2 linked regions of the Oryzias latipes genome follow. The protein of the gene in region 2 binds, or shares a complex with, the protein of the main gene of each other region. Links are inferred from orthologs where the notes say so. Each region holds a gene or a part of one and is shown on either strand. Other genes may lie near its edges.

What was found. The genes of interacting proteins can lie anywhere in the genome.
Region 1: the proteins of rabggtb (region 2) and ykt6 are in contact, whole or in part, in a crystal structure (PDB 6J7F), measured with the Homo sapiens proteins. The link is inferred for Oryzias latipes from reciprocal best matches to the Homo sapiens genes RABGGTB and YKT6. Residues at the interface, in NP_004573.2 of Homo sapiens: Thr3, Pro4, Gln5, Lys6, Asp7, Ile9, Lys11, Tyr37, Leu45, Trp52, Leu236, Asp238, Cys240, Arg281, Gly283, Asp284, Met285, Asp287, Phe289, His290; in NP_006546.1 of Homo sapiens: Lys60, Gln62, Asp63, Leu65, Asn83, Glu84, Tyr85, Pro86, Ser87, Leu153, Asn155, Thr156, Glu158, Arg189, Lys190, Cys194, Cys195.

Annotation. Positions count from the first base shown.
Region 1 is NC_019867.2:5,875,874-5,880,821, reverse strand, and holds the end of ykt6 (synaptobrevin homolog YKT6), read right to left. Parts: intron 3,579-4,948; coding exon 3,477-3,578; intron 3,357-3,476; coding exon 3,321-3,356; 3' UTR 1,559-3,320; downstream 1-1,558. UniProt on the Homo sapiens protein: Vesicular soluble NSF attachment protein receptor (v-SNARE) mediating vesicle docking and fusion to a specific acceptor cellular compartment. Functions in endoplasmic reticulum to Golgi transport; as part of a SNARE complex composed of GOSR1, GOSR2 and STX5.
Region 2 is NC_019875.2:3,791,381-3,795,692, reverse strand, and holds the end of rabggtb (geranylgeranyl transferase type-2 subunit beta), read right to left. Parts: intron 4,151-4,312; coding exon 4,098-4,150; intron 4,013-4,097; coding exon 3,902-4,012; intron 3,668-3,901; coding exon 3,542-3,667; intron 2,409-3,541; coding exon 2,259-2,408; intron 2,183-2,258; coding exon 2,042-2,182; 3' UTR 1,482-2,041; downstream 1-1,481. UniProt on the Homo sapiens protein: Catalyzes the transfer of a geranylgeranyl moiety from geranylgeranyl diphosphate to both cysteines of Rab proteins with the C-terminal sequence -XXCC, -XCXC and -CCXX, such as RAB1A, RAB3A, RAB5A and RAB7A.

The DNA.
Region 1 (4,948 bases), on a different chromosome or scaffold from region 2:
TATGTGGGGAAAAAGTTGCTTTTTTGTTTGTTTTTTTATCTTTTACATGCAGATAAGCACATTAAAATCAAAAGCACAGTGATAAGTGAAGGAAGGCTCACCATTTCCACCTTGAAACGTGCGTAAAAGCAGTTCAGTCTTTTCCACTTCAACCATCTGAAAAAAAAACTGTGCTTTAAATAAACAGAAACTGCAGGATGTTGTTGATGGTTTCGTTTGACCTGTCGTTAATATCAGCTGCAATAAACGAAAATTAAAATAACCTGGTTTCTGGTACACGGAAACAAAGTCATGTCACTTATATTTGAACGAAAAAGAAAAGAAGTCGACAAAATGCGTCTGCAAAATTTTTGCAGACCTTTTTTTGCCAAAAAAGGTTATCAACAGAGTTTTTAATTTCACGGTACCCTTACGTTACGGCTCTGCAGCAGCTGGACTCTGTAGAAAAGCTAAATCCTCACAGAGACTCGAGCGTGTTTTCCCCTCATTATCACTGTTAAGAAGACAGCCGATCCGACTATTTAGCAAAACTACTTGTTTTCCACCTCCGTTTTCATGCTTTGAGTTCGCGTTTGATACCTGGCGCTGGGATCTTCAATCTACGGAGAGTCGAATGGTCCAAAAAGCCCCGTTTTTAGTGGGATGAGGTCATTAAATGCATCTTTTTGGTTTGTTTGAGTAGGAAGGGATATTTAAGCCACCAGAACAGATAAACAACCAAATAAATAAGAATACAGTCGTAAAAGAAATTGTAAAGTTGTAAAATTATAAGTAAATGTCAAAATTTTATGAGGATAAAGTGGTACAATTATGAGTAAAATGTCAATATTTTACTAGAATAAAATTGTTAAAAAAGCCAAAAGTTGTAAAATTATGAGAGAAAAAAAATAAATCCTTTCCAAGAATAAAGTTATAAAATTTTGTAAAAGAAGTTGCAAACGTTCGAGTAAAAAATCCAAAATCTTACTGAGGTCGTACAGTTATTCAAAATAGAAATTGAAAATTATACTTCAGAAAATAATTATTTTACAAGGTCAAAGTCATGTTTTAAAAATAAAGTTTTTACAGTTAGCTTTTAAAATGTTTCAACAAAGACAATCAAATGTAACCTGTTTAGGCTTCTTTCTGTTGCAGGACATCACTGCTTAAGAACCTCTCTGAATCTGCCTTACATTTTTGTAAATGTATTTTCATAAATTTATCTTTATATTTAAAGAAAAAACAATTTTATTGTATAGTTATGACATTTTAAATCATAACTTTAAGATTTCATTCTAATAAATAATTGCCTTCTTTTAATTTTATGACTTTATTCTTGCAATATTTAGATTTTCCTATAATTTTATTCTCATATATTTATTGTATGGTGGCCCTAGCCTACTGAAATGCAAAAAAAAAAGGGAACTGCCATTTACTACAATTTAAGTGAAATTTTGCATTTTTGAAATAGTACAAAATTTACTTTAATTATCTTGACACAAATGCACTGTAACTCATCCATTCTCTTGAACTACTAGATCCCTTTGGAGGTTGAAAAGGAAAAAAACAAAAACAAATGTTAAGTTCCAAATATATTTATTAACATGCTCTTAAATGTAAAGCACAGTCTTTGAAGTGGCTGAGTGGCTCTTATGAGCACTTTCTTTGCAGCATTGAAAAATGTAATTTATATTTTGCCAATTATAAATTAAATTGTTTCAGATAAATCTTAGATTTTAAAATGTATAAAATCTTGGGCGTCTTCAAAAAATATTGGTATCATTGTACACAACACTACAGTTGTTTAAAAGTCAAAAATAAAGAAGTCAAAATAAAAGCCTCGAATTAACCAATATTACACCATCATCCCCCAATCTAATTTTTTAGCGCAAACAAAAATGTATTTGAACACATTTGGTTTTAATAAGCAGACATTGATCAAAAATCTTGAATGCACTATTTAATAATCTATGTAAGACCTGAACTGCAAAGAAACTACAACAGAAGTTCAGAAATCTTACAAAGGATTTCATTTAACTTAAAGATTGAAAAAAAAACAAAAATTCAATCTTTATGTGTGTTAGTCAAAACAAAAGTGTGTATACATTTTAATGTTATGTCAGTATAGTGAGAAATATTTTAACTGGTTTTTCCTCTTTATTTGCAAAGAGTTGCACATATTGCACCAATGTTATACTGTAAAAGCAGAAAGAGCAAACAGACATTTTTCTCCAAACACACTGGCACTCCAATCAAAGCAGTCTGCACCTCACATGTATATCTACAAAAGGAGTGAAAGAGACATCTAAAACACACAACCAAAAGGCATCGCTTCCCCTCAAACCGGCGAGTTCTCAAAGAAGCTAAATGTACCCTATAAGACTTAACTGTGCTCACAGTGACAAAAATAAAGTTTTTAAGCCTGGAATGTGATCTGATCTAAAATCCACACCTCAGAGTCATACTTTAAACTCATTTTATGAAGCGTGGCAAATACACAACCGTCCGGACGACTTAACAACGCACAAACTCCCCACTGATGCCAGCGCTACATTTAACACTTCATGTTTAAACAGCTTTAAGCCTCGCTTAAATACAGCCGAATGGGAATGCTAATCATTTTTTTCCACATAAATTAAGAAAAGAAAAAAAATTCTGTAACTAAATCCAGCAAAGCAAAACTTTTCAAAGAAATGTAGGTAAAAGTCAGAGAGACTTTGGTGTCGCACCCCCAAGCTGACACTTCATATATTTATATATATATTTAATTGAGCTCAACGAGACTCATTTAAACCGCAATGTGATCAAACAGCACCACCCAGTGGGTCTATAGAGTTCTGATTGAAGAAAAAAAAATAAAACAGTTGAGAATCGGACTGCAAAACATATGATTACATAAACAAGATTGTCTGTTTCCATGAGGAAAAAGCACAATTATGGTTATTACGTTTCAACTGTTTTAGGAGATTAAGATCAGATTCAATCTAGACAACATTAAATGGTTTGAAGATATTTTGACCACACACGTCCTGTACACATAGTCTCACACACACACACCATCATGTCCTCGGCTGGTACTGATCACACAGATGCCTTTAAAGGTGAAGGATAATTTGTTATTAAATTAAAATTCTTCCGACTACATCTCATCACTCCTTCAGCCCCCATCAGTCCCAATCCAGAGACGGCACTCTTTGACCGGCCACACTTTCCCGCTCTCGTCTTGGTGCTCCATCTGAGACGAGGTCCTTGTGAAGAGCTTGTGACTGATGCATGATGGGGGTTGTAGGACAAGCAGAAAGGCAGAGAGAGGCGCGTCCCAACAGGACAAGGCAGAGACATCACATGATTTCACAACACGAGTTCTGTTTCCGTGCCTGGAGGGTAAATAGAAGAACACACATGCCACGCTTGGTTTTTTTTGTAGAAATAGAACAACTTTTACATTTTTTTTTATTTAGGTAAGGACAGCTGAGCTAAAAGTCATCAGGACTTACAGTTTTGTAGAAGGCTTTTGACTGATTTCCCAGGTGCTCTGATTTTGCCACAAGATCATCCAGTTTCTCTCCTCTCTCCAGCAGACTTTCCATAGTATTGTGCTGCAGAAGACAACAGCTTTATTATCATAAAACAGAAACAGAGGTTCCAATGAGCTCATGACCCCCCCCCCAAAAAAAAAACAGGACAAATATTTATCCGATCTATTCCATTTTTGTTACTAATAAATTTATATTCCGTCTAAAAACAATAGATTTGTGAAGCATATTAGTGATTAATTGCTTACTATAGCACTTGAGCGTTGTTTTGAACACATTTATGCAAAAACTTATATTGACAAACTGCTAAAAGGTGCTTAAAATTTAATTACCAGCTAAATCAGTTGGTGGTTCAATTCTGGGCCTCAAAAAATAAGGAACAGTTTAGTGTTTGAAAAATGAATAAATGCAGTTAGTGGTGGAAAAAAGGTTTTAAGTGGGGATGTAAAGGATTCAGATACATGCAGATAAAAAAAAGACGGTGCGTGTAACAGCATTATCAGTTGAAAACCACAAATACAAGATTATGTTGGTAAAAAGCTATAAAATAGATCTGTAAGAACATGATCAGTTTGTGGAACTGTCAGATTCTCTTCCCGTTGTGTCTTTACTCGTCTTTTTCTGTACATGAGATTAAACAAAAAGACGTCCAATCACAAGCTTGCTTCCACCAAGTCAGATCCATTTCATTTGTCTGAAGACGTTCCACAGCGAAGGATGTGCCGTGTTTATTAAACCCTTCTTTTTCCAAAGCACTGCAAAAAATACCTGAATAAATTAAAGTCTACAGTCTAAAAGACCCGAAAGGCCAGTTTTAATGTTGAAGCTGAAGCCGTTGTTGCTGCTTGAAATCTAAAGTCAGTAGGAAAGAAAAAGAGTGTCTCTGTTAAAAGGCATGTTTGTTTATAGTTTTGAAAACGCCAAATACAGAACAAATATCTAGATTGTATCCATTTAGGTGAAAGAACTGGACTGTCACAAAGTTAATTAAATATTTTATTCATTGATTTGTGGACCATGTATGTATCGAATCCTGTGATGGGGAAAGATGTGCAGTTTTGAGAAATCAGAACCAGAAAAACATTCTATGATGCTGCGTCCAGAGCCCCGGGTTCTGCTGACCGTTAAACGTCCACAGATGGCATCTTTTTGAGCCTCTTGTTCAAAAATGGCAAAGACACTGTTTATTTCCACCTCTTAGTTTAAAGTCAAATTGCTTTAGTGTTTCTACAGTTTTATTTCACAGCGACAGAAAACACCAAATCTTCAAGGAAAAGTAGGGAAAAATAAAATATTAAAAAGAAAGAGTACTTTATAGTTCATAAAAGATATTTCTGCTCAAATAAAATAACCGTATAAAAGTGAATTCTAAATATGAAAAGGTATTTTTTTTTCTCACATGGATTGTCCATCTATGCTAGAAGAATTTAAAG
Region 2 (4,312 bases):
AATCCATGGACACCAGTGAAGATCACAAATCATTGAAGAAAAAAGGTTCAGAGCACTGTTTGGTGGGTCTAGATGACCCAACTCCCAAAGTTAACGTGCCTAGGACAGCACAAGGGTTACAAAGGTCCGTGGAGGAGCTTGGTGAACCTCTGCTGCAGAGAAGTTCTCAAAGCTCTCAGACAGTAAATTAAGGTCCAGTCCAATAAAAATGAATTTAAACTTCCTGTTTAGTTCTCACAGATGTTCTTCTGTCACTTAATGGAGGAATTTGACCTGGAAGATGGCGCTACTGCACCCCCACTGATGTGACCACACCTGGATGGTGATCCTTCTGCGTGGGCGGAGTCTGCACACGCCACACCTGTGTGCTGGACGGATCACCTCCACAGAGATTTGTCAGTCTGCAGACGGCAGCGGGTCTGTGGTTCAGCGTCTGCCAGCAGCACATCCTGCAGGGGAATCTTACATAGAAAGGGAGCATTGGCTAAAAGCTACAGTTATTCTGCATTTTGATGAAAAAAAAAATATTTATAACTCGCACTATTTATGATTGACTTCACAGCGTTATTCTGTCCAATCCCTTCCTAGCTTGTGGTAAATCTACATGAAATTAACGTTTGATTTCTGACTTCTTAGAGGTTTTTTTATTTTTATTTATTTCTTTTTCTAAAATGTTCGCTCGTGCAGATCTTAGGTGAACTGAAGAAGAGGAGAAACAGAGCGAAGGTTTAGCTGTAAATACAATTATGATCCATCATCAAATGACAAATAAAGAATCATATTTAGAAGACGGCTTTTAACCACGTTTACCAGAATTCTGATATTCATTGACAAGGTAGCCAAATGTCAAAAAATGTTTCTGCTTTTCTACAAAATGTTTGACGTTGAGTTTGGGTTTAAGGTTACTGCGTAAATATGAGGCTTTTAGAAAAGAACATTTACAGTTTTATGGCTCAACTGCATGTTTTGTTTTTTTCTAATAACTCAAAAGATTTATGGGGTAAAAAACTCTTTCAAATTAAATGAATAATCTCTTCATAAAAATAGAACTTATGGAATTTAGATTCCTGAAACTGTCCTTGAAGAGTGAATCTCTTCCTAAATGTCAATGATTCATGATGGCTGAGTTTCCCAAAACAAAATAATTATAATTAGGAGGATAAAACACACAAAAACATCATTACTTAGGTTTGAAGGGTTTTCACTGGTCATTGATTTGCTGAAGGTCAAAGTTGAAAATATTTAAAGTGTTTTAACACAGAGCATAAACTTATTGAGGCTGTAATTGAGCATTTGTCTTATTCATCAAATTTGAATTCAAGTTTTGAAAAGCTCTTATTAGATTTAGAAAATCTTACTGATAAAACATGTTTTCTTTTCCTTGTATTAAGTAGAATCGTTTTAGCCTGAATGTGACGGCAGAGAGGAGACGGTTGAAAACTTCCCCACACAAGATAAAGAGCAGAAAGTGACCGAGCACAGAGTTTCCTGGAGCTTCGTTCAGACGCTCACAGAGTGACACATTTTAATAAATATAGTGGCTGGAAGTGTGGAGAAGACATTCAAGGTGGCATCAAAACGGAGCCTTCTGAGGCCGGCCGACACTCTCTGAAGCTGAGTGACATGAAACAGTCTTTGCAGCTTTGAAGCCCATGAACACAGCTGCAGGAGCATGAAGGCAGAAACATGAGACAACAGAGAGAGGCAGTCTCAGCTTCTAAAACATCAAAAATGATAGATTTGTCGCCCTCTCCTGAAACGTTTCCTCACTAAATGTATCAGGGGTTTTTCCACAGCAACATGTCAGATGGTCAGCAGTTGTTACGGAGATAAAAGGACAAAAACAGGACAGAAATGAGACAAGAGATGTTCCAGGACTGATCCAGTGGAGAGCTTCAGGAATGTTGAATGACGGAAACTTTCCTCGTTTGTTCAATGAATGAACTCAACTCTGGCTGAGAAACGTGCTTCTGTCTCTGCTTCCATTGTCCAGGCGTGGAGGTCGGAGGAGCATCACGTACACATGCCGAGCATCTGGAGGCTAGCTGAGGAGGTCCGGCTGCAGGCCGATCCTCTGTAACACGTCCTCTGGCATGCACAACACCGGATTTACCGCTTTGACCTGTTCCTCGCCCAGGAGGGAGAGTCCAGCCACCCCGAACAGAGTATGGAAAGGGTCCACCTTCAAAAAAACAGAACCACGGAGGTCCAGACATGTCGGATAGCTTCTTCTTCTTCTTATGTGTGTGATAGCTCACCATGTCTCCTGGTCTGTCAGCAAAACCTCCCGTCTCCTCATCCTGACAGGCCAGAATAAACTGGCGTAGTCTGGACTTGTCGATCCAGTGGATCCTACCGATGATTTTCAGAGATGCCAAAACCCACCAGGAGTAGCAGACATCTGGAAGCTGCAAAGACAGATGGCTTTGAGACCAGGAGTGCAAAACATTCACAGCTTCAGCCGTCTGCCAGTAGTACATAAAAGAAAAAGAAAAAAACGGCGAGCAAACTTGATGTTTGGCCTTAAAGCGGCAAAAGGCCTTCATCTCTTTCCTCCACAGAATGCGAGTGTTTGAGGAATCTCTGTTCTTCTTCTCTGTCTTCCACTCAAACCACAACATCACAAAATTCAGGATCTCACAGCTATTTCAGTGATTATTGCAGCACAAAAATCCTGAAGCCGCCGCTAGTTTTTGCCTTCAAAGTTGTGATCAAAGTTGCTACACTTTTCAAACTAAAGGGATGGCACACAAATTCTAAAGCTGTTTTATTTTCCAAGGGCAGCTTTATGCACCGTCACAGGAAATGCTCCACACTGATGAAAGTCCTTCTTCATCAGGGATTTCTTTACAATGATATCTTTTTTTGTCCTTGTTTGTTCAAGAGTGTTTGTCAAACCTGAACAATGGAATAACAGCAGCATGCTTAGCAAACTTCACACAAAAACATTATCTTTTCGTTAAAACGTTACATTTTAACTAAAGAATAAAAAGCTGACTCAGTGATGCTTTGAAAACCTTTTCCTTTCTGTCCGATAACATTAAATGTGCTCATTTCACCCCCAAAACCTGGACTCTAGATTTCTTTAAACCCACACACAGTAAATTGTGAAATTTTGATGGTGAAACTTGTTCAAAATGAGAGCAGCTGGACCGAGTCGGAGGCAGTTGATCGGAAGACCCGGAAAATTCTGGAGGGGCTGATATTTGAAGCCAACCCAGAAATGTTGTTACAGCAAGTACCACATGTTCTGTTTCTTTCTCACTTAATTCATAGGAACCCATGGAACCCATGGTGACATCAGTGTCACAGACAAACAGCAGAAACGTGTTCTGTGATCCACCACACTTCACTTTCCTTTTTAGGGAAAAAGGGGAATGACAGGAAATGTGTACACAAACACATTTTTCAGAACGCCGGCAGGTTTCTGAGGGCTGGTCCTCATGGGAAAAAGAGTTCAATGATCTTCTTCAACAGCACTAAGGTTTGGTTCACGAGGAAACTAAAAAGATTTGTGATTTCATGTTAGAAGCTGTCAAACCTTCTCAGGCCTTCCGTTGAGGCCTCCAGACGGCAGCTGGCGTTCGCAGAGCCACCAGCCCAGCAGGTCTGCGTTCAGCTGGTGCAGCTGGCCGGTGAGAGACAAGAACCCGGTGCAGCAGTAGATCTGAGACCAGAACCAGAACAGGTTTAGACTTTTGAAACACAACTGAGGCTTGAAGAGAAACACATAACAGTCCAGCATGAAAACTTTTCCTCCTGAGAACGCCTCCGCTTCTTAATCAGACCTCTGAGTTATGACGTGAGGTGGTGGAAGAAGGCCTGATTTGGTATTTTATTTGGACTAAAAAGTGAGGCTTTGCTTATTATTTCATAGAGAAATGACTCTTTAGTTCCTCACCTGCCCAGCGTGAGACTCTGAACCAGGTCTGCAGCCAAAACCGCCGTCAAAGTTCATGCAGGATAAGACGAACTCCACAGCTCTGTCAACATTTATCATCTCCATCTTTCCCTTCAAAGAACAGCATTAGTGTGAAAGGCAGTTTAGAGATTGGTGGGCTTTGGGATGAAAAACTGTGAACAAATAAAAAACATACCAGTAATGCAAGTGTGGCAACAGCACAGAAAGAAAACCGGGTGTCTATTTCTCCTGTAAACACAAAACAAAGAAAGAGAGAAATTCTCATTATAGTGAACAATTAAGACGTCTGTTTTTAATGTTAATAACAAAATGACCCTGAAACGTCACTTTTTTGGCTAAACTGTGGGCAGAAAAGCAGCTTAAAAACAGTTTCAAGTGTTTCAGACTTCA